Linked DNA regions of Ovis aries. The protein of the gene in region 2 interacts with the protein of the main gene of each other region in a pairwise test. Links are inferred from orthologs where the notes say so. Each region holds a gene or a part of one and is shown on either strand. Other genes may lie near its edges. The genes, in order: MAD2L1, INSR, SH2B1 and SHC1.

The links.
Region 1: the proteins of INSR (region 2) and MAD2L1 interact in binary tests that used the Homo sapiens proteins (3 or more experiments, as listed by UniProt). The link is inferred for Ovis aries from reciprocal best matches to the Homo sapiens genes INSR and MAD2L1.
Region 3: the proteins of INSR (region 2) and SH2B1 interact in binary tests that used the Homo sapiens proteins (3 or more experiments, as listed by UniProt). The link is inferred for Ovis aries from reciprocal best matches to the Homo sapiens genes INSR and SH2B1.
Region 4: the proteins of INSR (region 2) and SHC1 interact in a two-hybrid assay, tested with the Homo sapiens proteins (2 studies listed by BioGRID and IntAct). The link is inferred for Ovis aries from reciprocal best matches to the Homo sapiens genes INSR and SHC1.

Annotation. Positions count from the first base shown.
Region 1 is NC_056059.1:5,753,222-5,761,112, reverse strand, and holds the start of MAD2L1 (mitotic spindle assembly checkpoint protein MAD2A), read right to left. Parts: upstream 4,908-7,891; 5' UTR 4,802-4,907; coding exon 4,729-4,801; intron 3,981-4,728; coding exon 3,834-3,980; intron 686-3,833; coding exon 565-685; intron 1-564. UniProt on the Homo sapiens protein: Component of the spindle-assembly checkpoint that prevents the onset of anaphase until all chromosomes are properly aligned at the metaphase plate.
Region 2 is NC_056058.1:13,931,918-13,939,841, forward strand, and holds the start of INSR (insulin receptor), read right to left. Parts: upstream 4,350-7,924; 5' UTR 3,865-4,349; coding exon 3,765-3,864; intron 1-3,764. UniProt on the Homo sapiens protein: Receptor tyrosine kinase which mediates the pleiotropic actions of insulin.
Region 3 is NC_056077.1:26,475,895-26,483,833, forward strand, and holds the start of SH2B1 (SH2B adapter protein 1), read right to left. Parts: upstream 4,787-7,939; 5' UTR 1-4,786. Other genes in the region: TUFM (elongation factor Tu, mitochondrial), read left to right, coding at 4,959-5,001, 5,105-5,299, 6,037-6,203, 6,429-6,533, 6,623-6,787, 6,920-7,052, 7,136-7,240, 7,354-7,505 and 1 more. UniProt on the Homo sapiens protein: Adapter protein for several members of the tyrosine kinase receptor family.
Region 4 is NC_056054.1:105,186,085-105,193,430, forward strand, and holds the end of SHC1 (SHC-transforming protein 1), read right to left. Parts: intron 7,324-7,346; coding exon 7,253-7,323; intron 6,737-7,252; coding exon 6,673-6,736; intron 6,515-6,672; coding exon 6,395-6,514; intron 6,119-6,394; coding exon 6,065-6,118; intron 5,878-6,064; coding exon 5,826-5,877; intron 5,651-5,825; coding exon 5,524-5,650; intron 4,570-5,523; coding exon 4,371-4,569; intron 4,285-4,370; coding exon 4,215-4,284; intron 4,142-4,214; coding exon 4,007-4,141; intron 3,843-4,006; coding exon 3,604-3,842; intron 2,788-3,603; coding exon 2,659-2,787; 3' UTR 1,154-2,658; downstream 1-1,153. Other genes in the region: PBXIP1 (pre-B-cell leukemia transcription factor-interacting protein 1), read right to left, coding at 358-460. UniProt on the Homo sapiens protein: Signaling adapter that couples activated growth factor receptors to signaling pathways. Participates in a signaling cascade initiated by activated KIT and KITLG/SCF.

The DNA.
Region 1 (7,891 bases), on a different chromosome or scaffold from region 2:
TAATGAGGTGGATGAAACTGGAGCCTATTATACAGAGTGAAGTAAGCCAGAAAGAAAACGCTAATACAGTATACTAACACATATATATGGAATTTAGAAAGATGGTATTGATAACCCTGTACGTGAGATAGCAAAAGAGACACAGATGTATAGAACAGTCTTTTGGACTCTGTGGGAGAGGGCGAGGGTGGGATGATTTGGGAGAATGGCATTGAAACATGTATAATATCATATGTGAAATGAATCGCCAGTCCAGGTTTGATGCATGATACAGGATGCTGGGGGCTGGTGCACTGGGATGACCCAGAGGGATGGTACGGGGAGGGAGGTGGGATAGGGGTTCAGGATGGGGTACATGCGTATACCCATGGCGGATTCATGTTGATGTATGGCAAAACCAATACAATAAAGTAATTACCTCCAATTAAATAAATTTATATTAAAAAAATAAACATCCTAGAAAAAAATTGTACTTTATATGAAACTTGTTCCATATAATTAGAACTCATTTGGGAAAGAACATAAATTTAAAAACATACGAAAATGGAAGTAATTTCTACTTACCTGTCATCTTTTGCAGTCTTGTCACACTCAATATCAAACTGCCATCTTTCAAGGACCTCTCCACTTTCAATATTTGAGATGACTACCACCAGTTTCTGAACTGAACACTTGTATAACCATTCTGCAATATACAAAACAAGGCATCTTTTTTAGTTCACTGCATTACAAAGCAACTCTCCTCTCAAGACCAACTTCGTATCCTCAGCAAACTTCTCCCACTGCTACTTTCGTTCTCCTCCAAATTGTGCAGAAAATTTGCCCCATCAATGGCCTAGCTCCCGATTTCAGATTCTCAGTGTTTGTGCCAGGTATAGCACTGGGTGCTAAGACAGTGAACACGAGGTACTTCCATCGTAATCCAAGGGAAGGGTGAAGGAGATGTCATTAATCAAATCACAACAATAAATGTGAAATTATAACTGCTCTAACTGCTATGATGGTGCAGTTTCCTATGACATAATAGCGGTTACCTATGATGGTGCAACATATACTACAATTAAAGCACAGAATAGGAAATTCTGACTCGGGGGTTTGAGTTTTGTTCTAAGAGACAACCGTATATGTATGCAAAACAGGAAAGAGGGTATAGGTTTTAAAATATGAAATGATGGATTTATTTTGGCGGTGTGAGGTCTTAGTTGTGGCATGTGGGATCTCCCTGCTAAAGGTATAGGTCTTAGACACAAAACAGAGCACTGGATCAGAGGACTGAAAGGAGGCCAATACAACTGCAGTTTAAGAAAGGGAGGATGGACAAGGCTGGTCTGACAAGATAAATGGGCCAGACCACACGAGGTCATGAGCACCAAATTAAAGATGTGACACTCTTAAGAACTAAAGTGGTCATTACTGTGTTTCAAGCAGCATATGATGTGATTCAAGTTGTATTGGAAAACTATCCTTCTTGGCCTCTAGGCAACATCCACAGTTGCCTAGAGGTTTCATACCAAACAATCTGAGTGCAGCCGTATGAATGACTATGGGTGGCTTAGCTCTGAAGTTAATGAAAACGCAATGATGTAATCTGAAAATGAAGCTAGCTGAAACAACAAAACTTCCCGTAAACTGGAAGTAAACAGGGGATCTAGGGCACTAATTCATGCATAACTCCAACAAGAGCTAATAAAGACTTGGAGAAGATACACTGGTAGAGATGAAGCAGTAGACAGATTCAAGAGATTTCATGGTTAAAACTGTTAAGACTTATTGGATTACCTCAGGGTAAGGAAGAGGAATGAATCAGGGATAGCTCCCAAGTTTCTGATTTATATCAGTAGTCGGATGGTTGATCCAGTCACCAAGAGGAAAGAGAACTGAAATGGAGATGATCCTAAATTCAGTTTTTAATATAGTGAGTATGAAGTAGTATATTATATAGCTGCATAAAGACATAAGGGGGCAATATATGAGCCAAGAGTTAGGAGAGGCTTTGGTTAGATATTGGTTCATGAGTCAGATACACAACTTGTTACTAGAATTATGTACATGTAAGAGGTCAACTAGAGACAGATTATAGTAAGAGGGCCTCAGGCTGAGCCCTCAATCTTAGAAACTGAGAATACTTTATTCAGGCATCGGCAGGTTTTTTTTTTTAAAGAGATAGAAAATATTTTAGAAATACTGAAGTCTTATGGGTCACCTACGTTGCATAGTCTTCTTTAAAATGTAATAATATTCTTAGCTTGCAAGCAGTACAAAAATAAGCCACTTGCTGGATCTGGCCTGTTGGCCTCGCTCACTCCTGGCATATATGAACAACTTTTACCAGTTTACCTGTGAAAAAGAGATTGAGTGGTAATTTGAAGATATGGGGAAGTTGGCGATTTTTTTCTCTCTTAAAAATGGAAATGAAACCAATGGGAATAATCCAAATGAAAACAAAGAAATTGACAACGTAAGAGAGAGGAAACAGGGTTAAGTTCCTAACGCTAGAGAAGTAGAATTTAAAAGTGGAATTGAACAATTTGCCTGTAAAGCATTTCCTCCATTTTAACTAAAAGGGAGAAATTAAGTAGGAAAGTGTAGATACCTCTGACAAGAAATGTTATTGGTCTCAAAGGACACAAACCAAAAACCAGTAACTTAGGCAAGGCTGGCTTGCTACTTCTTCAGATGAAGATGAAGACATACATCCATAGTTGCCTAGAGGTTCCATACCAAACAATCTGAGTGCAGCCGTATGAATGACTATGGGTGGCTTAGCTCTGAAGTTAATGAAAACGCAATGATGTAATGTGAAAATGAAGCTAGCTGAAACAACAAAAGTGATTCATGACTTTTAAAGTTAAAAAAAAATGCGGCTGTAGTATTTTTAGAACTAGTATTTTGGAAGATCTAATGGGCAGAAAAGGAGAAACATTTTACAACACAGAGAAATTAGAAATGAGAATCCTAAGTGTAGAGAAATATGAAAAAGAAACTAGTAGAAATTCTAGAAATAAAAGGAATAGATGGAGCTACTAATCCAACAATACTGCAACTTCTTGAGCTAAAAGAAGAAAATGAGTGTGCAGATAGAAAAGGCTTACTGACTCACAGGCGTGATTAAAAAAAAAAAAAAAAAGAAATGGAAACAGGTGAAAAATAAGAAAATTCCAATGAGTGCTGTTATTTAGTAGTTCCTTCTTTTTAAAGTTTAGTTCCCTAAGTTGAATCTGATTTTAATTCCTTCATCTTAATATATACAATGATGGCTTCAGACTCCAAGCAGCTACAAAAAATACATGCAGTGTATTTTTCTCAGATAACGAATGCCATCATAATAACATAAAATTCCAATGTGTTCTATCATCCCTGAAGGAGTTGATGGAGATTGTTTTGTTAAGCCATATCAGATTCCGAACCTTAAAATATTCAGTCTACTCAAAAGTGGAGGAAGGGTGGGAATTCTTTTAATTTGTATGTTATTTGCTTCCCTTCCAATTAGTTCACTGTATCGGATATGGTAGTGCGATTTACACTACCCTGTGCAGAGCTGAAAAATGACCACCAAGAAGCTAGAAAATGCGTGCTCCTATCCAACTCTTTACAACCCAATGGACTGTAACCCGCCCGGCTCCTCTGTCCATGGGATTATCCTGACAAGAATGCTGGAGTGGGTTGGCATTTCCTCATCCAGGGGATCTTCCAGACCCATGATGGAACCTGAGTCTTTTGTGTCTCCTACATTGGCAGGTGGATTCTTTACCACTGAATCACCTGGGAAGTCCCGAGGATCCTATTCACATAAAGGCCTGCAAAACTCAAAACTGTGTCCAACAATAAAATACCTTTTAGTTGATCCACCACATTATTTAGGTATTTTATGAGCTCAGGATCAGTAGTTACAAGCAAGGTGAGTCCATATTTCTGCACTCGAGTAAAGGTTTCCGATGGATATATGCCACGCTGATATAAAATACTGTTGATACCAAATGCTGAAAACATAAGAAATATTAAAGTCATCGTCACGTTGTAACTTTGGGGGAAATAAAGCATATGTAGATGGGGCTATGGTTTCATTAACAGTGTAAAGTTATAAATGTCTAAACACGTGTTTGTGTTTTGCTGAAAGCCAAGTAGGTACAAAGTGGCATTAAAAAAAATCCTTAAAATCTTGCGTCTGATAGCTGCATTTATGTGGCAACAGAAGAAAAATGCCAAACTGCACTAATCTACCAGTGCCAAATTTCATTTCATTGTAGAACAAGTTCAAATGCCTATTTTATGATTAGAGGGTGTCAAAACAGGCAACTGACAGACGGGTACCAAGCCCAGGCAGGCCTCTCCCCGTCTCTTTCCTCCTCTTATCCTCAGCGGTCCTGCCAGGTTCTGTCAGCAGGTACACCTGGCCGAGCTCAGACGTCTAGCCCGTCACGGTCCACCCGAGGCCCCTCGCCGTGGCGGGGGCGGGGGCTGTGGGAGGAGCTCTGCACTGGAAAGAAACCCTCCCGCGAAGGGGACTTCGCAAGGCGGCACTGCGGCCGCAGCGCCCGGGCCGCCTCCTCCGCCGGGAGCGACGCGAGCGGAGGCGGCGCCCGCCGCCCCACTTCCTGATCCCTCCTGCCGGCACCGGAGGCCGCGGTACAAGGGCCGGGATTCGGGGCCGCTCCGGCCGAGCCGCGGGCCTGCGGGCGGCCTGCGCTCGGCTCTCCCCGCCCTCCGCCCCGTGCGAGGAGGACTTACAGAAGAACTCGGCCACGATCTCGGCGCTCCCGCGCAAGGTGATGCCTTGCTCCCGGGAGAGTTGCAGCGCCATGGCCAGGCCCACGGAGGACGGGACGCGCTTCCACCCAGCAGACAGCGACGCCAGGGGCTTCCGGAGCAGTTCCCCGCCACTCGTTTCAAAAGGAACGACGCAGGACGCCGTCGCGCCCTTTGCGCAGGCGCGAAGGCCACTAGACCCCGCCTGTCGCGCCCTTTGCGCAGGCGCGAAGTGCCTCTAGACCCCCGCCCTGCGCGGCGGGGTCCGGCCAGTTCTCTCCGCCCCTGCGGGAGCGACGGTTCGCGCAGGCGCAGTGGGGAGGCGTGGCGGCGCCGTTCCCGGGTGGTGACAGCTGTCTGGGTTCTTGCTGTAGTTGTGGGCTGGCTGGCGGGCTGGCGGCTAGCGGGCAAGACGGTAGGTCCAGGTTTCAGTGGCCGCTCTCTGGGTCTGCGGACAGAGCGACCTAGGAGCACAATTCCCGAGTTTGAAAGATTCTTTGAAAGTGTTATGAACTGTCCGCCACCCTGAGTGGCCCCAGTGATCCTTAGCGGTCGGAACTTGCTAGGTGCTCTGGGAGTTTGCTTCCCTAGTGGCTCAGACGGTGAGGACTCTGCCTGCAATGCCAGAGACCTGCAATGCACGATTCCTAGGTTGGGAGGATTCTCTGGAGAATGGAATGGCAAAGCACTTCAGGATTCTTTCCCGGGGAATTTCATGGGCAGAGGAGCCTGGCAGGCTGCAGCAGATGGGGTCACAAAGAGTCTGACGCGACTGCGCGCCTAACACTTTCACTTTTCTTTCGAAGCAGCTGCGTGCCGCAGGTTTTAGAGGTATTACTGTGCCGGCGTGGTGTTTTTCCTGAGAAATTGGGCTAGGTCTGAAAGGGACGAACGGAATCCCTTCTGTCCCCTCGTCCTGGCTCAGCTCGCGTCTACCCCCGACCCCGCTGCTAGGCGGAGCCTGGGGGCAGCAAAAGTCTGCGTCTGATAGTCCAGCCTCTACTCTGTGTACCTCGCCACCCCTAGGCAACTGGTCAGGGAATAAAGTCCTCTCGCCAAAAAGGCTCGTCAACACTAAAGAGCTTCTCAGTGAATTTTGACTCAAATCCAGTGGCTTTTAATGTTTCTATGAGAAGTATTAAGCAGATGTTGTTTAGTCGCTAAGTGGTGTCTGCCTCTTTTGCGAACTCATGGGCTTGTAGCCTGTCAGGCTCTTGTGTCCATGGGGTTCTCCCCGCAATAATACTGGAGTAGGTTTCCATTTCCTCCTCCAGGGGGTCTTCCCCCACCCAAGAATCAAACCAGCTTCTCCTGCATTGGCAGGCAGATTATTTAGCACTAAACCACCAGGGAAACCCAATTAAGCAGATAGTGCACTGCTAATGTCATGTCAATTGTGAAGCAATTGTATTCCTACAGCAGGTGGAGTAATTATTTGTGAAATGAAGTCTGAGAAACCTGCCCAGATGTAGTTATTTAATTATATGAAAAAGTGCCTGAGTGTATTAGTTTTCTATTGATGTGTAACAAATTATGACACATTAGTGGTTAAAAAACAACACCACCGCCCATTTATTATCTCAGTCCTTAGATCAAGAGTCTGGGCATGGCATGGCTGGGTGCTCTATGTAGCCTGGTAAGTTTAAAGGCACCTGGCTGCAAGAGAGATCTCATCTAAACTCCGGGTTTGAGGTCCTTGGCTCCTGGCAGAATTAATATCTTTGCTCTTAAGTTGAGGTCGTCACTGGTTTGCTAGCTATTGGCCAGAGGCCAGTCTTGAGCCCTTGTCACACTTGCACTCTCTTTCCAAGGAGGGCCTTTTGAACAGCTCATGTGATTAAGTCAGACCCAGGCAGATGATTTCCTGTTTGTTAAACCTAATCTTCAAACTACCGCACAATTGCACTCATCTCACACTCTAGTAAAGTAATGCTCAAAATTCTCAAAGCGAAGCTTCAGCAATACGTGAACCATGAACTTCCAGATGTTCAAGCTGGTTTTACAAAAGGCAGAGGAACCAGAGATCAAATTGCCAACATCCGCTGGATCATGGAAAAAGCAAGAGAGTTCCAGAAAAACATCTATTTCTGCTTTATTGACTATGCCAACGCCTTTGACTGTGAGGATCACAATAAACTGTGGAAAATTCTGAAAGAGATGGGAATACCAGACCACCTAACCTGCATCTTGAGAAACCTATATGCAGGTCAGGAAGCAACAGTTAGAACTGGACATGGAACAAATGACTGGTTCCAAATAGGAAAAGGATTATGTCAAGGCTATATATTGTCACCCTGCTTATTTAACTTATATGCAGAGTACATCGTGAGAAATGCTGGGCTGGAAGAAGCACGAGCTGGAATCAAGATTGCTGGGAGAAATATCAATAACCTCAGATATGCAGATGACACCACCCTTATGGCTGAAAGTGAAGAACTAAAAAGCCTCTTGATGAAAGTGAAAGAGGAGAGTGAAAAAGTTGGCTTAAACTCAACATTCAGAAAACGAAGATCATGGCATCTGGTCCCATCACTTCATGGGAAATAGATGGGGAAACAGTGGAAACAGTGTCAGACTTTATTTTTGGGGGCTTCAAAATCACTGCAGATGGTGATTGCAGCCATGAAATTAAAAGACGCTTACTCCTTGGAAGAAAAGTTATGACCAGCCTAGATAGCATATTCAAAAGCAGAGATGTTACTTTGCCAACAAAGGTCCGTCTAGTCAAGGCTATGGTTTTTCCAGTGGTCATGTATGGATGTGAGAGTTGGACTGTAAAGAAGGCTGAGTGCTGAAGAATTGATGCTTTTGAACTGTGGTGTTGGAGAAGACTCTTGAGAGTCTCTTGGACTGCAAGGAGATCAGCCCTGGGTGTTCTTTGGAAGGAATGATGCTAAAGCTGAAACTCCAGTACTTTGGCCACCTCATGAGAAGAGTTGACTCATTGGAAAAGACTCTGATGCTGGGAGGGCTTGGGGGCAGGAGGAAAAGGGGACAGCAGAGGATGAGATGGCTGGATGGCATCACTGACTCGATGGACGTGAGTCTGAGTGAACTCCGGGAGTTGGTGATGGACTGGGAGGCCTGGCGTGCTGTAATTCATGAGGTCGCAAAGAGTCGGACACAACTGAGCGACTAAACTGAA
Region 2 (7,924 bases):
TGAGTGTTTATAGGCTGAAAAGAAAAAGGCTTCTGGGTGGATGGAGATCCCTGAACAGAGGGGAGAGAGGAGGGGACCTAAGTGGATAAGTGTCCTGCATACTAAGTCACTTCAGTCGTGTCTGACTCTTTATGACCCCATCGACTGCAGCTTGGCAGGGTCTTCTGTCCATGAGATTTCCCAGGCAAGCATACTGGAGCAGGTTGCCATGCCTTCCTCCAGGGGAGCTTCCTGATCCAGGGATTGAACCCACACCTCATGTGTCCCCTGCATTGGCAGGTAGGTTCTTTACCACTAGCACCAAAAGCAGTGGTTCTCAATCAGAGGACAGTTGGTGGTGTCTGCAGACACTTTTTAGTGGTCATGACTTGGAGAGGGGCGTTGCTACTGGTCAGAGACCGCAGACAGTGAGCAACATCTTAAGATACACAAGACAGCCCCCTGCAACCAAGAACTATCCAACCTCATAGATCAAGAGCACAGAAATTGAGAAGGTCTATTCTAGCCAAAAAATAAAGGATGTCAATGAGGAAGTGGAGTGAGGTGGGGGCCCATGGGGTGAGGCTCGCCCCCAGTGACCTCTATGAATGAGCAGGGCAGGGTCGAGAGGCAGGTCACCAGGAGGGAAGCAAAGACTAGGAAGAACCTCAGAGAACTGACCCAGAGAGCAGAAGTTCTGATCTGAGGGTCCCAGAGTGCACCAGAGAACCACAAGAGAAACACTAGATTCCACCTCGAGATGTAAGGGGATCCAAAAGCAACATCTAGCACCTCAACTCATCAATTCACTGCCCCTGCCAAGATTCAGTTTCCACTATAATTAATCCCACTTTGCCTTCATTCTCTGACTTTGCAGTGCTCCTGGGTCATCTCGGGCCAGAGTGGGTCAACCCAAGGAGACATGGGAGGGAAAACCACTGCCCAGTTCAGCCAAGCCACAGAGACTCCACAGGGGGGATGAAATGGGCTGGCCCATCCCATGTGACATCGAGGAGAGAGTCCTCAGTCCTTCAAAATCCCACTGATCTCCATCGACCCCACCCCCACCCCAGACAGAATGCCACACTGCTTGCTGCTGGAGATTAACCAACGATCCGGAAAGTTCCTTGCCCCTCCCCAAACCTCCGAAGGGCATCACATGTCATTTATTCGAGAGTATTTTGTTAACCTTTATACCACAGGGGTTAGGGCGGGGAGGCTCAGAGTCCCAAGAAGAACCTTCTGTTAAGAAACCTTTTATTAACAAACCGGAGTTCTCATCTCAGCACTGCCACCTCATCCAAGTTCCTCACCTTCGAAATGGATGATAAACCTTACCTCGGAGGGCTGTGGTGAGGATTAATCGAGATTATCAATGCCGAGTGTGTAGAATTTGCTTGTATTTGTGTCAGCTAGGTTTTATCTGAAGAATAAAGGAGCCATGACTTGGACTCCTGGGAAGAACAGGAAGGACAGGAGTTGGATCTAGAACAAATATTTAGGACTTCCCTGGTGGTCCAAGGGCGACAAATCCTCCTGCCAATGCTGAGGACAGGGGTTCGACCTCTGGTATGGGAAGACCACATGTGCTGCAGAGCAGCTAAGCCCGAGTGCCACAGCTGCTGAGCCTGCACTCTGGGGCCAGGGAGCCACAACTATTGAGCACACGAGCCACAACTACTGAAGCCGCGTGCCCTGGAGCCCGGTCTCCACAACAAGAGAAGCCGCTGGAATGAGAAGCCCATCCCATGCACAGCAACTACAGAGTAGCCTCGATCCTCACACCTAGAGAAAAGCCCAGCACAGCAATGAAGACCCAGCACGGTCAAAATAAATAAATGTATCAAGCATCTCCTAGGTGTCAGGGGCTGCTCTAGACTCTGGAACTGTGGCAGTGAACAGAGAAACATAAGCCTCTCCCTCGTGGAAGCTATAAACATGCAAGAAGTGGCAAATCCATCCACTGACCCCTGAAAGTGAAAGTCGATCAGTCGTATCGGACTCTTTGGGACCCCATGGACTGTATGTAGCCCACCAGGCTCCTCTGTCCATGAGATTCTCTGGGCAAGAATACTGGAGTGGATAGCCATTCCCCTCTCCAGGGGATCTTCCCGATCCAGGGATCAAACCCAGGCTCCTACAGGCAGATTCTTTACCATCTGAGCCACCAGGAAAGCCAGCCCAGGCACAAATCCACCATTAATTCCTAAAGCTACCAGGAACAGAGGAGCAAGGAACTGCATGCATATACAGATGTGCACCCACACACAGACACACACGGGCATGGACACACAAAGCCGGACACAGATCTAACAGCTGGTCTGGGTTTTTGTGTGTGTGTGTGTGTGTGTTTTTTTTCTAACAAGAGCCTAAATCCACTGCTACCCTTCCTTGGAGGAGCACTCACTGTATACCAGGCACTTGGGTGCTTGGAGACGTTGCCTAATTGGCAAAGGTGCTCCACAAACCCGGTTTGTCAACTCCAGAGCCCCCACGTGCTTTCTCGTGCATCCCCACTCACCGACAGGCAACTCAGGAACTTCTGTTCCTTCCCTGCCTGACCCCTTCCTCATCGGGACTGATTTCCTTTTATGGAGAAATCTGAAGAAGTAACCCAACACATATTTTGAAAGCAGGGCCTCCGCCATCATGGTGGGAAACCCCAGTTATATTCTCTTCAAGGATTTTCCATCCTTGACCTGCAGCCAGAAAGACGTGCTGTCAAGCCCAAGGAAAATGCTGGGACTTACCCCTCTCCCCATACCAGGGAGCTGCTAGCCCAGGGACACTCATGAGGGAGAATTGGAAGGGAGAGGGGGCAAGGTGCTGGGCTGACCACAGATTAGAGACCTGCCCAGCTGACAGGTAAAAAGGTAGAGGAGGGAGGTTACCAGGGGTTCCTGGGGCGTGGGCAGCTGGGCAGAGCCCTGGGCAGAGCCAGAGAGGTTTGTCTTCTCTCTAGCTCTGATTCTGGGGCAAGTGAATTCTGTGTCCTTCCTGAGCCTCAGTTTACTCCTCTATGAAATGGACCAACAACAGTATCAGCCTCCACGGGCTGCTGCAGAGATCCAGACAGATAAGACCGGCCAGCCCGAGGCATCTGGTGACACCAGCTATAATAATCATAAAAGCCAACACTACTGCTACTACAGCTGCGCTGTTGCCAAGGGCTAGAGCTTGCCTCCGACATCTGGAAACAGAATTCCAGAGTATAAACATGGACCTGAAGTCAGGGGTAGCCGTGGGTCTAGATACCAGAAAGAAAGGGGCGGGTTCTACACTTCCTCGGCCCCTGGGGGAGCGTCACCAAGCTGCTGGGATCTCAAGGGACCACCCTGCCTTCAGTCAGTCACCCTCGATTCTCACTCCAAACCGTCTGTGCCCGGGGCATTTGGCTGTGTGAGAGTGTCCGATGACCCTACTTCTCGGAGGCGACCCAGAGAGGACGTGTGTCCCGTCTCTGGAGCCAGGTGGTGGGCTCAGAGAGGCCCAGACACGGGGGTTCGAGGAGCGCTCTCGGGAGAGGCGCCCGCGGAGGGGCGGGCACTAGGGCAAGGTTCCTCCAGCCCCGGGCCGCATGCGGGTCGTGGAACCGCTAGCCCAGGCGGGCAAAGGCCAAGGTCAGCGGCTTCCCGCCCCCCGCGAGGCCGGAGAAACCGTCCGAGCCACCAGCCCTCCGACGGAGGACGGCACTCCGTCCACAACGGGGGGTGGTTCCATTTTGGCAAAGGGTCCCCTCCCCACCCGCGCGGCTTCCCGCCCGCTCCGGGACCCCCCAGACTCACCTTCTCCAGGGTACAGGTGGCCCGCGGCGCCCACCAGCAGCGCGGCGACGACCACCAGCAGCAGCACGGCTGCCGCCCCGCTCCCGCCCCCGGCGCCCATGGCTGAAGGATCAGAGCGCGGGGCGCTGGCTGGCGGGGTGCATGCTCCGAGGCGGCCGCCCCAGAGGCGCTGGGGGTCGCGCGTCCTTCTCTTCCACGCGGGCAGCCCAAGGTCCCGCAGCCTGCGCCCGGGAGGACTCTAGATACGGCCCCGGGAGGGGCGCGCGGCCTCCGCTGCTACGAATCCGGCAGCGCGGCCGGGTGGAGACGGTCCCGACTCCGGGCCCCCGCGGCCCGCGCCCCCGTCCCGACGATCTCAGGGCCCGGAGCCCCGCGCTGCGCCCCCCTGACTCTAGGCTCTTGGCCCCGAGCGCTCCGGAGCTCCGATCTTCGGACGCGCGGACAAACGGACGTGCGGACAGGCGGGCGGGCACCTGGGCTGGCGGGTGGCGGGCAGGCGGCGGGAGCCAGGGCTGCTCGGCCCGTAAACAACGCGGCCCGTCAGCTGGGCCCCGTTCGGGCCGCGGGAAAAGGCGGCGCGGATCTGGGCTCGGAAGGGACTCGGCGCCCGGCAGAGGCCCGAGAGGGGTGGAAGGAGGACGGGCAGGGGGGAGGCGCCGCCCCGCCCGCCCGCCGGTCTCCCTATCCTGGGCCCCGCGCTGGAGGCCCCCGTCGCGCCGTAGCCGAGGGGGCGCCCTAGATGCCTGCCCAGCCCCAGCGCCCCGTACAGCCCCAGGACTCCTGTCTCAGAGCCCGGGAGCGCCCCAGATTGACCAACTCAGCAAGTCGGATCGCGTGTTTAAAACATTTTGCTAGTTTGTTCTTCGTGGGACTTTAGAAAATTCATTTTTATTTTTTTAAATATTGCATTAAAATATTGTTTATCGTGGTTACTCGGCTTTTTGGTACTCCCTTAAATGTTGCGTTCACCTTCCCCTCGTCACAGTCTGGCCAGTGAGTATGGCCCTCGAGCGCCCCGGATGTCCTACCCCAGAGTGCGCCCCCGCCCAGAGCCAGGCCCCTGGGGACAGCCACGTGCACGAGCGTGCCGCGTGCGCTCAAGTATTGGGTAGCCTGGCCCCTCCGCACGATGCGTGGTTCAAGGTGGAGAAATGACCCTTAGGAGAAAGTGTAGAAACTAGCAAAAAAAAAAAAAAGTGCAAACCAGGCGCTGGAGATCTTCGGTAGAACACAGGTGGACACACCCAAGTTTCAATGCGCAGACCCAGAGTCCGTGTGTGTTTGAACGTCAGTCACGTGACAGTGGCCACCCCGCCTGCTGAAGAGGGGCCTTAAGCACAGAGAAGCCAGAACGGAGTGAGAATCTGCTTGAATGAGTAATTTTTCTCTCTCTCGATGGGCCTCATCTGTATGATGCACGTAAGGACACCTTCAGGTCAGATTTGGTGAGTTGTAAGGGCTTCCCGGAGAAGGCGATGGCACCCCACTCCAGTACTCTTGCCTGGAAAACCCCATGGAGGGAGGAGCCTGGTAGGCTGCAGTCCATGGGGTCCCTAAGACTCGGACAGGACTGAGCGACTTCACTTTCACTTTTCACCTTCATGGATTGGAGAAGGAAATGGCAACCCACTCCAGTGTTCTTGCCTGGAGAGTCCCAGGGACAGGGGAGCCTGGTGGGCTGCCGACTATGGGGTCGCACAGAGTCAGACACGACTGAAGCGACTTAGCAGCAGTAGCAGCAGCAGCAGCAAGGGCTTCCCAGGTTGCTCAGTGGTAAAGAATTTGCCCACCAATGCAGGAGACGCAGGTTAGATTCCTGGGTCAGGAAGATCCCCTGGAGGAGGAAATGGTAGCCCACTCCAGTATTCTTGCCTGGAAAATCCCATGGGTAGAGGCAGGCTACAGTCCATGGAGTCGCAAAGAGTTCGACATGACTGAGCTCGTGTGCATACACACACACACACACACACACACACACACACACACAACGGAGCACGCACACGCATGCACACACACAGTCTCCCAGGGGAAATAAAGCATGACAAAGCACCCAGAACAACTGTTGGCTGAGGGCATTCATTCTTCCTTTCATCTATTAAACAAATATTAGTTTGCCAGTAGATGGGCCCACTGTTCTTCTAACTCAAGTCTATTCCTGCCTCCCCTGTCCTTCTGGTGTCTGGCTCCACTTGTCTGTTCCAGTGAGCCTTCCCTGACCAACTTTGCAAACACTCCCTGTCCCCTCCTCCATTTGTTCCTGTCCAGACAGCACGCTGGTGTCTCTACCTGAAATTCTGACTTATTGTGTGTATTCACCCCTCCCCAGGAAGGCAGAAATCTTGTCCATCATGTTCAGTATTTTACACCCAGTGACTGACATATCCATTGCTTAATAAATATTTGTTGAGCGGAAAAATCAACATGCAGTAAGCAGTGGGGATTCGCAGGGAGCCAAATAAACACCATTCATTTCCTTGTAGACCTCACAACCCAGTGTAAGGAGAAAGCCATTAAGTCGCACATCAGATGTTTTATAAGGTGAGGTGGGGAGAGGCAGAAGGATTCTCCAAAGAGGTGATTTTGAACTGAAATCTGAGGAGAGAGAGCCAGCCCAGGGAAGCATCAAGAAAATGTTCCAGGTGGAGGGAACGGCGTGTGCAAAGGCCCAGAGGACAGGCCAGTGTTCTCACAACTGAGCCAGGCACTGTAGCTGGAGAAAAGAAAGCAAAGAAAGAAAAGGGGAAGGCTGGGCTGGTAGGCGAGACTAAAAGGGATATACCATGTATGGGTTGTCTTCAACACACCCTTTATCCTAAAAGCAACAAGGATGCATTAAAGGGTTTATACCAAAGGGTTGGGCTTCCCTGGTGGCTCAGACAATAAAGAATCTGCCTTCAATGCAGGAGACCCAGGTTGGACCCTGGGTCTGGAAGATCCCCTGCAGAAGGGAATGGCTACCCACTCCAGTATTCTTGCCTGGAAAATCCCATGGACAGAGGAGCCTGGCATGCTACAGTCCATGGGGTTGCAAAGAGTCAGACACAACTGAGCGACTGAAGTCAACTGACTGAAAAGCCACCAACAATTTCAAGCAGGTGGCATTTGCTAAAATTCCAAGGGACATACTGCCCTCTGGAAATCCTTCAGGATGCAAGACCTCCACATAAAGCTGGGTATAAAGTCAGAAGAATCGTTGTAGTTGTGGCTTACTGGGAGAAAATGAAGACACCTCCACTTCCAGAAGAAAAAAAGCTCATTATTTCTTCTGTAAGCTACCCCCGCACCCCCTCAAAAAAAATACCAGGATATAAAAAATGAAAGTCAACCTCTGCCTCTTCTTAAAAGCATTGGAATGAAAGTAGAAAATCACCATTTGCTAATTTCCAAAATAATTGATTCTGGCAAGAGCCATCAATGAACGTTAAAAGTGATGGTTGGAAGCTTGAAAAGTAATGGGGTATTTCCATGGTCTGCAAGTATCTCTTCGCAGCATGTTTGTCCAAAAAAAGAAAAATGGTAGCTTTGTGAAAGAAAAATCTGGCTTAACAAAATGATCAAAGTTACTCCTGGATTTTCTTTTGCAATAAAATAAATTATTGGGACAGTGGGAAAGATTGAAAAGAGTCTATCAGTTCCACAGTGATACTCTATCAATATTAATTTTGATCCTTTTACTGAAGTGATGTAACAGAATGTCCTTGGCTTTAGGTAATAAACATCAGATGAAGTGTGTAGGGGTTAAGGAACATAATATCTGCAACTTATTCTCAAATGGTTCAGAAAAAAAGAGAAAGAGACAGAGAAAGAACAAAGCAGGTGTGATTTTTAAAAGTGTGATGAAATTGGTTAATCTGATAAACTGTGCATATAAGGATTAATTGCACTATTTGTGCAACTTTTCTGGACGTCTGGGCAGGTATGTACTCAGTTGCTCAGTCGTATCTGACTCTGTGACCTCATGAACTGTAGCCCGCCAGGCTCCTCTGTTCATTGGATTTTCCAGGCAAGAATACTGGAGTGGGTTGCCATTCCCTCCTCCAGGGGATCTTCCCAACCCAGGGATTTAACCCACATCTCCTAAGTCTCCTGCATTGGCAGGCAGATTCTTTACCACTGAGGAAGTCTGCTGCTGCTGCTGCTAAGTCGCTTCAGTCGTGTCC
Region 3 (7,939 bases), on a different chromosome or scaffold from region 2:
TCAAGTCACCAGTGGGGGTTGAAACACAATACTAACCCTGAATGGACAGTTGTGACCGTGAAGGATAGATTAGGTTGATTGGTAAACACTGGATCATGGACCGATCAATCACCTGAGGTTGGGATAGGCTGAGCACAGCAGAGGGTGGTTCTTCAAAGGAAAACCAGAGTCTCTCACTGAGGGGGAATTGGTTGCTTACCAGCTTCTTCTGGAGGTCATCTGGACCCTCCCCCGCCCCAAGAGATGGATATGTCAAATTCAGCCTTAAGTGTTTTGGCCAGAACTTCCTGTCCTTCCAAGCAAATCATGCTTTGCACAATCAGAACACTCTGACAGCTAACATACTCCATCTTCACTTAGGTTTGTCTCTGGTATTACACACGCCATTTTCCCCACTTCTGCCAGTTTTCCTTCTCTGGTTTCAGGCGCCAAAGTGTAGCCTCCTCTAAGAAGCTATGCAAGGCCAATGCACCGAGGCAGCCTCTCAAGTGCCTTTTATTTAGCAGCTTTTGTGTGAGCTTCACAGAGTGTTTCCAACTGGAATGTCTCCAGTCACATCTGAGTGACATGAGTATGATTGGAGTTCTGTGTTTGGAAGGATATTCAGGGCCAGTATGGGAGCGTTGAGACTGGATATAGAGAGGAGATGGGTGCAGTGGTCCAAGAGGGGGATGATGCTGACCCAGCCAAGGCAGTGCAGTGGGGTTAATTCCAAGGTGAATGTCCAGAGGGATTTCTGAGGAGACACTGCCAGGCTGGCTGGAATATCCTGAGTGACAGAAGTGTCTGTAACTTGTGAGCCCCTAAAAAGAGTGAAAGATGCCCCTGAGTTTCCAATAAGTCTGTTGAGTGGTACCAAGGACAAGGCTCTAAGTCCTAGTCCCCAATTTGCCACTAAGTTATAGGTCAGCCCAGAACCCATGTCAATTACAGCAGACCCCACCTCCTTTTAGAAGCTACAGCTACAAAAAAAAAAAAAAAACCCTTACAGATCATAGTTTTACCTCTTCACTCCCCCCATTTTATAAAGCAGAGGCCTCAGAAGTTCTAGTGATTCGCTTGTATTTTTTAAATGAATGTGAATACAAAATTTGCTTTCCACTGAAAACACAGAAACTTAAGCCCAACACAATGCTTCACTGAATGATCAACTGAAATGATTCAACAAATTCTTCCTTCAACAAATGTTTCTTGACCTAAGTGTTAGACACTATTCCTAAAATAAAAAGTAAAAGTTCTTAGTATCATGAGCTGGTGAGAGAGAAAAAAGTAACAAAAAACAAAACCCAACAAACAAGCAAACTACTAAGATAATTTTGGATATTTAGGTGCTATCAAGAAAATAAGAGGACCATTGATAAGAGGGTGTCAAAAGAGGTGACATGTGAGGTTGGAAGACGAGAAGGAACAAGCTGTGGGGAAAGCTCCAGGGAAGAACATTCCAGGAAGATGGAAGCACATTTGCAAAGACCCTGAGGTAAAAGCAATCCTGGGGTGTTGGTGGAACAGAAGGATGCCCAGTGTGGCTGGAGAGAGTGAGAGGAAAGTACCAAATGGGGATCAGAGAGGTGGACAGGGGCTAGATCATGGCCATGCCAGACCACAGGCCCCAGGGAGGATGTCGGACTTTTTTTTCTTAATGTTTACTGACAAAAATATGTATGTTACTGAAATATAATTTACCTGCCATACAATTCACCCATTTAAATAAGTAGGAGTTTGGATTTTATTCCACGTGTACTAAGGGAGGATTCATTTCTGATTCACATTTTAAAGACTGATCTGGTTGTGTGGAAGATGGATTTGACAGATATTGAGAGTAAGGACAGAAGCTGGAGGACCCACTGGAGAGATCATGAGGTAACTTAGGCAAGAGATGATCCCAGTTTGAAGCCCAGTGTTGACAGGGGAGAGAGAGAAACGGTTACACTGAGATTTATTTTGGAGAACCAGTGGGACTGGGTAATGGACAGATGTAGGTTTGGGGGAAAAGGACAAAGGTGGTGCCATTTATTCAGATATGTAAAGAGAGTATGGGAGAAACATAGTGTCCTGTTTGGAGTATGTTAGGTTCATAGCATCACAGTGGTAGCACCCTTCGATTTGGAAGGCTCATGAACAGTTCAAGTGCAAGTATGCACAGAGACCTGCTATGGCCAGGCACACAGTATATGGAGATAAAGGAAGCCCAGTCCTCACCCCACTCAAGTCACTTAGTCTCAGACAAGTGACACCAAGAAATACGTCCAAGTGCTGTAAGGCAGACTTATCTGTTAGGGTGTATTTGGCTTTAAGTAACAGACAACTCTAACACCATCTGCCTTAAACAATAAAGACACTTGTCATCTCACACCATGTAGAGTCCAGGCTTCTAAGATCCTCTTTGCCCACTTCTGGATTTTTGGCTTCACCACGGATGGGAGCATGATGGGCATGGTAATTCCAGGCTTCCCATCCTGATCCAACAACTCCCAGAGTCAGAAGGTGGTCTGTCTCCTCGGTGTCTCCTCCTTCTTTTTAAAATATTTATTCATTTATGGCTGTGTTGGGTCTGAGTTGTGGCACGTGGGATCCTTGTTGTGGCACGTGGGATCCTTGTTGTGGCTTACAGATCCAGAGCACTCCACCGGCTCAGTAGTTGTGGCACATAGGCCCAGTTGCCCTGCAGCATGTAGGATCTTAGTTCCCCATCTGGACTTGAACTCAAGTCCTCTGCACTGGAAGTCAGATTCTTAACCACTGGACCACCAGGAAGTCCCAAAGGTCACTTTTTTGATGTAGAAGCGGTTTCAGGACCATGAGCAGCAGCTGTTGCAGACAAGTCTAAGTCCTGGCATTTAGTGTCTGGTGGCAGTGTCAGGAGAAGCAGTTTTCTTACCAGGTCAGGTCAGACCTGTGGCTTAGGATCCATTTCTTCAGCCCGTTCCACAATTCTGTAGGCTGCCTACCACCTTGACACAGTTTTCCAACCAGCCCATGTAAATTCTATTATCTGCAAATCCAGACTCCTGTGACATAGGGTGCAACAGGCAAAAGCTCTACAAAAATTCTGTCCCTCTGGACTCTTTCCTGAGCACTGTGTTTTGCAAATTTCAGTCATTCACATACACCTCTCCCCAGATTTGCCATATATTCATATCACCCATTTTATCTACCAAGTGTTGTTTTTTTTAATTGATTCAACATTTTTTTAAATACAACATTTACAATGCCAGCCTTTCTTTCAAACTAATACACATTAAAATGAATATAGCACCACTAAAAAAGAAAGCATTAATTTAAGTACCAGCCCCCAATATTTCATATCCTGGTTAGTGGCTGATAGTGTCTTAGGATAAATTTCTAGAAGTGGAATGACTGAGGTTCAGGTTGGGGACAAGGAGAACCCTTTCATATTGTACAAGCCCTTTCTCATCAAAGCTGATGGGTTTAGAGGGCCAGGAAGACAGAAGTCTTAGCAAGTTTCTCATTGTAAAATGACAGTTAAATTATAGTTCGGTGAAGTGGCTAAATGCACACTTTTTTGGAGTTTAGCTGTGTTGGGTTCCTTAATTACCGTGATGCTCAGTTTTCTCACTAGTAAAATGGGGTCCTATCACACAGTATAACATTGAATGTGATACTGAATGAGAAGCAACATGAAGCACAACGCCTGAACCATGAAAAGCTCTAATTCTGAGTCCCCCAAACTCCTATGAGTTTAAGAAGAGTATTAAAAATAAATATAGTTTTCTTGTCTGTACCCAGATACTACTGAATCATAATCTCCAAGGGAGGAATTAAGGAATCTATTTGAAACAGACACCATCAGCTGAGTCTTAGGAGCTGATGAATTTTGGAAACATTAATCAAGGTTAAGCAGCTGCTATTATCATCCCACGGTGATGAGATGATGGATGTGAAAGTTAAAGGTCATTTACTATCCTTGCACTCATTCATTCAGTCAACAGACATTAATTGAGCACTCACTGAGTGCCCCGCCCTGTGGTAGGTGCCAGGGACACAGCGGGAACAAGACAGACTCAGGCTGCCCTTAAAGGCACAAGAAGTTGGTCTCTCACCTGGTCATCTGTAAAACCGGGTGGGTTGACCGACGATCCAGAGAATTACTCTGGCCTGCTGAGGGGCGACAGGGGTGGACAGGAAACTCTGTCCCCCCTGGCTCACAGGGCATTTGAGCCAGGGGAGGGTCTCAAAGACTGTAGGACCCGGAGGCTTTTGGACCCCTTTTCTGCCTCTTGCCCAGCTCATTTCCTCTCAGAGCTAGATGTCAGGATCTTCCTGTAAAGTAGATACTATTCCCACTTCACAGATAAGAAAACAAAGGCTTAAAAGAGAGGTGGGTCACACTAGAGACCCACCCCCAACAGGTTCTCGGGAGTCTTCCCTCAGCCTGGCCGCAGCGGCTGGTCCTACCTCCAGCTGCGACACAAGGCCGCCAGATCTGTCGTCAGACCCGCGCGGCGGGTCGGACTGGACTCCAAGTGGTTCGGGGCCAAGACGTTCCGGAGTCATCCACGCCGGGGCCGCTGCCTCTGCTTCAAGAAGGCCTGGACCGTCCCTCCGGACCTGGCCTCGCCCTCCCACGATACGTGCCAGTACAGCTCACGGCCCTGGGAACTACAACGCCCATGAGCCTCCGGGGCGTAGGCGCGCTATGAGATGCTCCACATCGCCTCCCGGCGCCACCAGAGAGAACTGCGTGGCTCCTGAGCCCGCGAGGTTGGAGGGCGCCGTGGAAAGCTTCCCCACCTTACCACCATCAGCACTTTCCTGGACGGGTTCTGTCGCGCGCCCGGAAGTTCACAGGGCCATAGAGATTGGAGGCTAGAGGGGCCCAGACGTGCCCTCTCGGTCCTAACTTCCGCCGGAAGCGACTTCCATCCGCAATTGCCCTTTCCCCGCTGCACGCGCCGGCCCCCGTGCCCGGTACTCTCTACGGCGCCAGTACGACCACAATGGCGGCCGCTACCCTGCTGCGCGCGACGCCCCTTTTCAGCGGTGAGGGGGCGGGGAGGGCCACGGCGCCCCGGGTTCACGTGGGGGTCGTCGGGAGCGGCCGGGCTCAGACCTGCGCCGTGACTCCAGGCATCTGCCCCGGCAGGTCTCGGCGCCGGCCCAGCACCACTATTGCAGGGTCTTTTGCGGCAGCTGAAGGCCCCGGCATTGCCCGTCTTGTGCCGTGGCCTGGCTGTGGAGGCCAAGAAGACCTATGTACGTGACAAGCCCCATGTGAACGTGGGTACCATCGGCCATGTAGACCATGGCAAGACCACCCTCACCGCGGCCATCACGAAAAGTAAGTGGGGTTGGGTTGGGGGGCTTCCAGCAACGCCTGCTCTGCAGGTGGGACTTGGAGCCAAGGGGGCGGGGCCCGCGGAGGAACTGCCTAGGTGTTTGGTGCTGCCCCAAAGGCGCCAGGTGGCTTCCCAGGTGGCGCTAGTGGTAAAAACCCCGCTCGCCAATGCAGGTTAGGCGTAAGAGAGGCCGGTTCGATCCCTGGGGTCGGGGAGATCCCCTGGAGAAAGGAATGGCAATCTACTCCAGTATTCTTGACTGGAGAATCTCATGGACAGAAGAGCCTGTCCATAGACTGTCCTTTTCTAAAGTGGAAAGGGCCTTGCTGAAAAGTGTGTTCCCTTCCTTCCCTTAGTTTTAGCAGGCTACAGTCCATAGGGTCGCACAGAGTCGGACACGACTGAAGTGACTTACCAGGGCACAAGGCGCCAGAAATTGGGCGGACAGTACACTGCAGGATGCAGAAGACAGATTTCCCGTGAACACGAAGTTTTTGATGCATAAGTTGGGGGACCCCCCCAGTGGCCTCCCTCCAGCCCTGGGAAGGTGCCCTGTAAGCAGAATTGTTGGCCTAGAGAAGTCACAGGGCTAGCCCTTGAGGCTCTATTTTCTTTCTGATCTGGAGTTACTAGTCCCAGGAGTTGAAGGAGGGTATCTTGGAAGGTTGCTTTTCCTAGACTGTCCTTTTCTAAAGTGGAAAGGGCCTTGCTGAAAAGTGTGTTCCCTTCCTTCCCTTAGTTTTAGCGGAGGGAGGTGGGGCCAAGTTTAAGAAGTACGAAGAGATTGACAACGCCCCAGAGGAGCGAGCCCGAGGTATCACAATCAATGCGGCTCATGTGGAGTATAGCACAGCCGCCCGCCACTATGCCCACACTGACTGCCCCGGTCATGCAGATTACGTTAAGGTGAGAGAGCCGCTGGGGACAGGGCTTGGGAACTGCCCCCCTCAGGAAAAACGTTAGGATTGTGGGGAGGAGGTTAAGATATTTGAGATGTATGGGTTGGAGATCCTGGATCTGTGGGCCTGGCCAGTCACAGCAGGTGGTAAAGAAGTGTCTGTGCTTAGCTAGGTGGCTGGGGAGTGGAGGAGGTCATGGAATTGCACTACTTCCTCTCCTCTTTCTCCCCAGAATATGATCACAGGCACTGCCCCCCTCGATGGCTGCATCCTGGTGGTGGCAGCCAATGATGGCCCCATGCCCCAGACCCGAGAACACTTACTGCTAGCCAGACAGGTACTCAAGAGCCTGGGAAGGGGTGGAAGGGGGGGCGGGCGGGTGTTGGGCCATTCAGGACACCGTCTGTGTGTCTTTCTCACCTGCAGATTGGTGTCGAGCATGTGGTGGTGTATGTGAATAAGGCGGACGCTGTGCAGGACTCTGAGATGGTGGAGCTGGTGGAGCTGGAGATCAGGGAACTGCTGACTGAGTTTGGCTACAAAGGGGAGGAGACTCCAATCATTGTTGGTTCTGCCCTCTGTGCCCTTGAGGTGAAGGCGGGGTCAGGCTGGGGAGGGGGCTGGATGGGCACCCAGAGCTCTGCTCTGAGTCCAGGGCCTAGCTCTGGGCAAGTAAGAAGAGCAGAATGGAAGTTTCAGAGTCCTGTCACTTCCCGCTCATAGCAACGTGACCCTGAGCTAGGCCTGAAGTCCGTGCAGAAGCTACTGGATGCTGTGGACACATACATCCCAGTGCCCACCCGGGACCTGGAGAAGCCTTTCCTGCTGCCCGTGGAGTCAGTGTACTCGATCCCTGGTGAGGACCTGGCTCACTGCATTCCCTTCCCCTCTCTGCCGCTTCATCCGGTGTCCCTGATGCCCTGTCCTGTTCCCTCCCAGGCCGGGGCACAGTGGTGACAGGCACGCTCGAACGTGGCATTTTGAAGAAAGGAGACGAGTGTGAATTCCTGGGACACAGCAAGAATATTCGCACTGTGGTGACAGGTACAGGAGGCAGCCTTGGGACCCAGGCTAGGGTGACATCTCCCCCCCACAGACCCCCCCCATGCCTTCCCTCTGCCCCCACACCCTTCTCCTGCGTGTCTCCCCTCTCTTAGGCATTGAGATGTTCCACAAGAGCCTGGATAGGGCAGAGGCGGGCGACAACCTTGGGGCCCTGGTCCGAGGCTTGAAGCGGGAGGACCTGAGACGTGGCCTGGTCATGGCCAAGCCAGGTTCCATCCAGCCCCACCAGAAGGTGGAGGCACAGGTGAGGGCTCTAGGTGATGGGCAGGCACTGTGGAGGGTCAGTGCTTCCAGCCAGGCCCGGCTTCACCCATGTTCTTGCTCCCTCTCACAGGTGTACATCCTCAGCAAGGAAGAGGGTGGCCGCCACAAGCCTTTTGTATCCCACTTCATGCCTGTCATGTTCTCCCTGACTTGGGACATGGCCTGTCGGATCATCTTACCTCCAGGGAAGGTATGATGTGTATGGCAGTGGGGGTGACTTTTCCTTGGTGAAGAAAGCCTGGCTGATGGTGCAAGAGGAGAGCTGGTGATGGAAGGGTCAGATCAGTGGGTTCAGGCGGAACGAATCCTCTTCCAGGGTTCCTTAGCTGTGTTAGCATTGACCCACACAGATTCCCCAGCAGAGTTCCTGTAGTAGAGAGTTCCACTGTATTTTACGTAAAGGCTCAAGAGAAG
Region 4 (7,346 bases), on a different chromosome or scaffold from region 2:
TGTTTATTTACTTAGTATCTACTTTGTTAGATACTAACAAAGATACACTATGAAGAATAAATGGGATGCCACACTCTCAGCTGCCTCTCCCTTTAAATGAGAGACGTCCCCATCCCTTGATAGCCTCAGACTCCCAAGTGGCTCCTTCATTCCAGGTGCCCCAAACTCTAGGATCGGCAGTCAGTGACCCCTCGTCCCCAACCCCTGGAGGGCTTCACCCACCTATCCTTTCCACTGAGCATCCCCTCTCTTCAGGGCCCTCAGCCTGAGAGCCGCCACCTCCCCGGCCCACCAGCCCTCCCTCCAAGGTCCGAGAGTTCTGAGCCTCGCCAGCCCCAGCCCCCTCAGCGTTCTCACCGGCCTTGCCCTGCTTTCTCCCGGTGCTGGGCGGCGCAGGGGGCGGTGCGGAGCCGCCACCTCCCTCCAGCTTGTCCGGTGGGGGCGGCGCCGAGGCGGCCATGGAGTGGGGGACCCGGGTCAGCAGCGGCGGGGGACGGACGCGCCCTCGGGTTGCACCATGGCCCGGAAGAGAAGGCAGGGGCGGCGCAGGCCCCCGCGCGGCAGCAAGCCCGAGGGGCGGCGAGGCGGGGCTGCCGAGCCGCGGCGCCAACTGCACGCTCGCCCTGCCTCACCGCCCGCCAGCGACCGCAGCCACAGGAAGCGGAATTCGGCGTGGCAGCCACCACTGCGCTCGGCGAGGAGGGGGAGCAAGGCCCGGGCCAGACCCTCCCCCTAGCGCTGGGCGGGCAGGGCCGTACCAAGGCGCAAGCCTGGGGGAGGCCGTCTCCAGCCCGGGAGCGCGGCGTGCCGGCTCGCTAGGGAAGACGGCAGCCGTCGGCCCTGCGGCTGGGCCGTACCATCCCGCGCCGAGGGGCCGCTGCAGGGGTGCACGCTGGCCCGAGCCGCCTGGGGTCCGGCTGTCCGCGATCCCACCCCGCCTCGGTCCCCGCTGCAGACACGAACATCCCCTGGCATGGTGGCCCCGCACGCCCCACCCCGCCGCACCCTCCTACGAGAATCCTTCCTTAAGTTCTCACTCGAGTGCGACCCAAGCGAGTCCAGGTGAGGCCGAGTCCGGCCTCCAGCCTCTCCTCCTGCCGTGGGGGGCGCCCAGAGCCAACAATAAGCTGAGACAGAGACCTAGAGGCCGAGGTAGAAGAAATATGGACTTTAATGAAGATTCTTTCCCTTTGGTATAAGTGAGACCCGTGAAAACATCCAAACAAAAAGAAAAGAACAAAAGGGAGGCGAGGATTTAGATAGTCCACTCTCCCTTAGCTACAAAGCCTAAAGACAGAGCAGGACCGGCTCCTCTGTTGCTGCTGCAGGGCGAGGCCTGGAGAAGGGATTAAATAACCGTGACCCCGCCTCGTGTGAAACTAACAGCCAAACTTCTGCCTCCCCGCCTCGCAGTGGGAGGGCCAAGTTTCTGTAGTCCTAGCTTACACTCCACTTCTCTGGGTCTCTCTCGTAGAAAAGATAATGCTACCGATTCCAACTGCCCCACAGGCCGGGGTGAGGAAAATGCCAATAGTCGTTAAAGGGCTTTGAAAAAGTCAAAGAGGTGATGTATAAATGTCATCGATTATCATCATTTTGTGCTCAGGAATAAGCTCTGGAAAACAAATTAGGAAAGTAAATCTACAGCCCTAAAATATATGCATATAAAATAAAAAACGCAGTTCCAAACCTACCAATGGTATCTGGGGATTGTCTACTGCTTTAAAGTCTCAATGCCCCTGTTCCCACCTCGACCAAATCCAGCTGGGATGGCAGCTCCGTCACCCCCCTCACCACCCCTGCAGGGGGAGGCAGGGCAGAGGCCAGGAAGAAGGGCTGTACTTTGGCTGTAGAGTATAACATGCATGCAACATGGTGGGGGGGGGGGGTGGCTTACGAAATGTATATACAGAGCCCTGGGTGAGGGGCCCCAGCCAGGAGGCACTGAGCAAGGGAGGGGTCCATCTCCCCACTGGCTGAGAGCAGGGTGCCGCGGCAGTCTCTAAGGGCTGCACATCCCAGGGAGAGGGGACAGCTGCTACTCCTGCCTCTGCTGGCCCAACCTAAACTGGAGGAGGTGCTGAGCGAGGAGAGGACGGGGTCCCAGAAGCCAAGAAGCTGTCAGCACCCCCATCCTTGACTTCAGGGGCCCAAGAACTCTTTGCATAAAATATCTTCAGACCTAGGAGATGGTCAAAGGCACAAAATTTGAATGCTGGGAGGGAGGGTTGTTGAGGAGTCTGGGGTACCCTGAGCCCAGGGGTAGACTAAAGGTATGATTCAGTTCCCCTTCCCTGAAAGGGTGATTACTCCACTGGGCCTATCACCACAGAACATCTTCCATTACCAGGAAGCATCCTGCCCAGGCCTCCAGCACCCACCTTGGGGAAAAGGGTATCAAGTTGGCACAGGAAAGGCCCAGGGAAGGGGGCCACTCTGTACATTAATACTTTGGTGAGGTTTGGGGAGAAGCAGGACTCTACCCCTGGTTCCTGACTCAAACCCTCTCACTCAGCTGCATGCTGAACCCAGTGTCCACAGTATCCCCAGTCCTACACAAGGCCAAGCCCACGAACACTCCCAAGTGAGGTCCAAAGAGTCAGGGAATAGGGTGGAAGGGACCGCAGGCCGTCTTCTGAGAGAGAGCACTGGAACAGGTCACAGTTTCCGCTCCACAGGCTGCTGGAGACACAGTTCGCTGCCCGCAGAGATGATGGGCAAGTGATTGTCCATGTGGTAGCTGATGAGGTGACTGACACTCTCAAAGCGGTGATCCTTTGTCCGAACCTGGGGAGTGGGAACAGAGAAAGGAGATTCAGGTGAAGAGTCAGATAAAATCTCAGTCTCCAAGGCCGAGGAAGCTGGGATAGTCAAGAGGGTTGAGGCAGGAGAAAAAGATGGCAGGAGAGGGAGGGCTCTCAGTTCTGATCACTGAGGCTTCTCTGGGAAGAGAAGCTGGAGACAGATGTGGGAATGGGCAAGTCAGTGAACTGGGAAAAGGCAGAACAGACATGAGCCCAGAAGTCGTGAAACTGAAGGCTAGCTACTCCTTCCCTGACCTGGAGGAGGGCGGTATGTCCAAGAAGAGGATACACAGGACACAAAAAGACATGCAAAGGAGGCTGAGACTGCTGCAGAAACAAGAGTGAAGTCATGAGGGGCAGCGGGCGGCGCAGACAGGAGACAGGGCTCTGGTCTGACTCCTGAGTCTGCAGGAGCTGGGGAGGCCCCTGGCTCCTCTTGTGAAAAGTTTCAGGATATTTCGCCTCTAGACATCTGACATAGAGCACTACAATTCTGGCGGATGGTTTCCTTATTTGTCAAAAGAGGGACTAGTGAGATGACCACTTTCTAGCTCTCAAGGGCACAACGTTTGGGGACTGGCAAGGACTGAAGGGAATACAGCTCAGGTGAGGGATGTGAGAAGGGAAGGAACTCTAAACCACTAGACGAAGGAGATGCCAGACACCTGGGAACAGGGGAGGCCCAGACAGAGGTGCCCAGCAGACAAAGTCTAGGAAGCAGTGAGGCAGGAGCAGAGCCACAGGTAGGGGACTGCACCTTCCTTTCTGCCATGCCCACCTACACCCCTGCCACACTCACCACTCCCTCAGGGTCCACCAGGAGCAGGTGCTTGGGCTGCCCACTCTGCAGGCCGGTGAGCACGTACTGGCCCGGCGTGGTCGTGCTTTCCCGCACCAGGAAGTCCCCGTTGACTTGTAGCAGTGCCTCAGCCTCGCGCCGGCTCAGCTTCCCGTGGAACCAGGGCTCCCCTCGGAGCTGCTCAGCCATGGCTGTTGACTGGGGAGGTGGAGGCATTCGCAAGGCATCTTCAAAGGGCTCTGGGGATACAGAGAGAGGGCTAGGAGAGGCAGCTGACACAACCCTATGCTCAGGACCTAGACCTTTAGGGAGGGGAGGCCAGGAAGCAAAAAGCAGAGAGGCAGGAAAAGAGGAGGAATCAAGTGAGAAGATGGAGACACAGAAAGGCGAGAGGCACACTTACTCATATCAAAGAGGTCTCGGGGTGCACTACCATTGATGGCAGGATTGGGGGGCCCGGCCCCGGCCCCTGCTTGCCGGGCCTTGTCTAGGTTCTGGACATTGACGTACGAGGGGTCATCAAAGAGCTCTCTGCCTGCTGAGAAAACGGAGGCTTTAGAGGGGCCCCGCCCTGCTTCTCACTCCCCTCTGCCCCTCAGTCCCCTTCATACCTGAGCAGGGTGGCGGGGGCGGTATCTGTCTGCGGGCTTCTGGGTCTCCCCCAGCAGGCTGCCCCACAGGCTGCAGGGACCAAGACAGAGTGAAACCAGAGGCCCTAACCAGCTGCTCCCATCCAAGCCCCACCCGCCTCCATCCAAGCAACATACCAGCGTGGCTCCCAGGTGGCTGGGGGTCTGGGCACTGGGTGGAGTGGGTCGAGCAGCCCCTGGGAGGGCTCCTTCCCGAAGCCTCATGTCCACCACACCCCCGAGAGGTGGTTCCTTCCCCGGGAAGTCATTATAGTACTGATGGTCAGGGGGCTCTTCCTCCTCCTCATCCCAAGCTGAGCCATCAAAGCCAGCCATCCTGAGAGAGACAGGAGGGAGAAAGGAGTGTGGATGGGAGGACGGAGGGAGAACGGAACAGTGGTCACGTATGGGGCATTCCCTGAGGGGTAGGCCTGAGGATGGGTGTTTCACGTATAATCATTTCACTCTCTGGGCAACCGATAAAGCACATACTGTTTCCTTCTCCAGTTTTTTAGTTGAGGAAAATGATGATCAGGGATAAAAAGATTTTGGTCACACAACTAAGAAATGGTCAGACGGCATCACCGACTCAATGGATACGAGTTTGAGCAAACCTTGGGAGATAGTGGAGGACAGGGAGGCCTGGCGTGTTGCAGTCCATGGGGTCGCAAAGAGCTGGACATGACTTAGCGACTGAACCACCACCGCTACTGGTGGAGCCGAGTGTCAATTCAGAGTTTGCCTTAACGTCATGCCCTTGATCGTCACGCGGTCTCCCAAGAGGGAGGGGAGACACCAAGTAACCAGGGAGGGGGTGCCCTAGAATATCCCAACCCCTCCTCTAAATACTCGATCCTACTGGTCTGAGGTGGGAAACGTGACCATCTCAGGAAAGAGCCATCCTCCCTTGCCCAAATTCTTGATGGCTTCTAGAGGCAAGAACGTGAAGAACTAAACTACGTATGGACAGAAGCACAAAAAGACAGACCAGAAACGAGACGGCTGGGAAAAGAGAAGCCCGTCTAGCCAGGGACAAGCTGGACGTCCTGCACTGCAGCCCCGCCACGGGCGCCCGACGGGAAAAGCTGGCCCTGCAGCGGGCAGGGCCACGGAGCACCTTCCTGCCGGCCACAGGAAACTTAAGAATAGCAGGAAGCAGGGGCACGCAGGTTATTTCCTTCCCTGCCCTTTTCTGAGCTGGACTGTGGAAGAGCAGGCCTCCTTTTCCAGTTCTGGTCTGGGGCCCCCGGGAGTGGGCTGCCCCCCGCCCCCACCTGCCTCACCCGCGCACCTGTCGTGGGGGGTGACGAGCCTGGGTGGGTTCCTGAGGTACTGTTTGAAGCGCAGCTCGAAGGCCTGGCCAATGGTGCTGATGACGTCCTGAGCAAGCCCTTCGGGACACTCCAGGATGTGGCAGGCTGGGGGTGCAGCAGAGGCTGTTAGGGAGCTGGGCGGCGGGGGGACTGTGGGGCTGGGAGGAGGCACAGACGGGGCCCTCGGCAGGAGGGGCCCTCGGCAGGAGGAGCCCCCGGGTCCTGCTCACCTGCCCCTTGGACAGCCAGCCCCACCCAGTGCTCCCCATCCACACCTCACCTCTCTGATTCACTGGGTCTTTGGCAACATAGGCAACATACTCGGCTGTGTCCTGGGGTGGACAGAGGCAGAAGAGGCCAGTTAGCTAAACTGTATAGCCCCACCCTACTCCTGACCCCTTCAGGCCCCTTTCTCAGACACTGCCGCAATCCTAGCGGGCTCACTTCTCTTGCCAGTGTCCTCCCAATCCCTAGCCCCCTACTCTCCTCCCACCACCTAAGCTCCATTCCCCAACTCACCGGGTCCCCGCCGGATGCAAACGAGATGGACTGCATGTGGTGGTTGGCAATGATCTGAGGGTTAGGGCAGAGGATGGAGAAGGAAGGGAATGATGGGCATCAGGCAGCCTCAGAGTCTACTGGGCACCGCCCACCACTGGCTCAAGACCCTGGCGTCCCAGTCTCATCCTTTTGGCTTCTCAACGCATGTTCTCTTAATCTGCTCCTTCCCTACTGTTCCACTGCTCCCAAGCCTTCTCTCCCAGTGTCTTACCCTCATAACCAAGTTCCCATTTAGCCCTCCCATCGATGTTTCTGCCCACCCCACCCCCGCCGCCTCACCCCACCAACCTGTTTGCAGTCTGCGGCCATGAGGTTGAGGCTGCTGGTGGAGACGGTCAGAGTGATTGGCATTCCAGCAAATTTCAGGTTACTCCTCCCCAGAATGGAGCTGAGTGGACGGCTACAGGGCTAGGGAAGGGCCCACGGGTCTCAGAAGCTGGGGGGTCCCCCACACCAGGAAACCCCCACACTCCTGCCTTCTGGACTTCTCCCCACCTGCCCCACACTAGCCTTCCCCCTGCTCCTCCACATCTCCCAGCATCCCTAGCCCCACAGACCCCGGGTACCTTTCTCCTCCTTGTTGCCCCCTTAGCACCCGGCACAGCCTCACACACCAGACTGATGGCCTCCCTGGGGAAAGAGGAATACTCAGACCCAGAGCCTGCCTCCCACTCGGCTGGGGCCGCCACAGGGCTGGGGGAGGGGAAGGCCAGGCCAGACTCCAGGGGCACTCCAGGCTCTTTGTCGTGGTGGATTGAATTAAGGGCCTTTAATATTTGATGACACTGAGAGGCCGCTTCCTGGCTGATTGGGTTAGGGCCTCAATGGGTCTGGCCCCACCCCCTTCTAGCTACCAAATGTCCCATCCCCTTCCCAAAGGCAGCAGCAACCTTCCAGCTACCCCCATTTTCCACTCCAGCTCTAGCTGCTAGCTGCCTCTGCCCACCTCCCCCACAACTCCCTGGGCTGGATAATAAGGAGCCAGGGCAGAGTTGCCCCTTTACATTAAGACTTAGACTCACTTCCCTAACTTTCTCTCAACCCCCTTTACCACCTAAAGATAAACCATCACTAGCACCACCAAGTGGCCCATTCTCCCCACCTCTCATGAATCCTGGGACTGCCCCTCCCCCAAGCCCCACTGACCTGGTGACCTGAGTCCGGGTGTTGAAGTCAAGGGCGCGCATAGACTGCAGGACCTCCACACAGCCCATGTACTGAGGGGAGGGACAGGGGACAC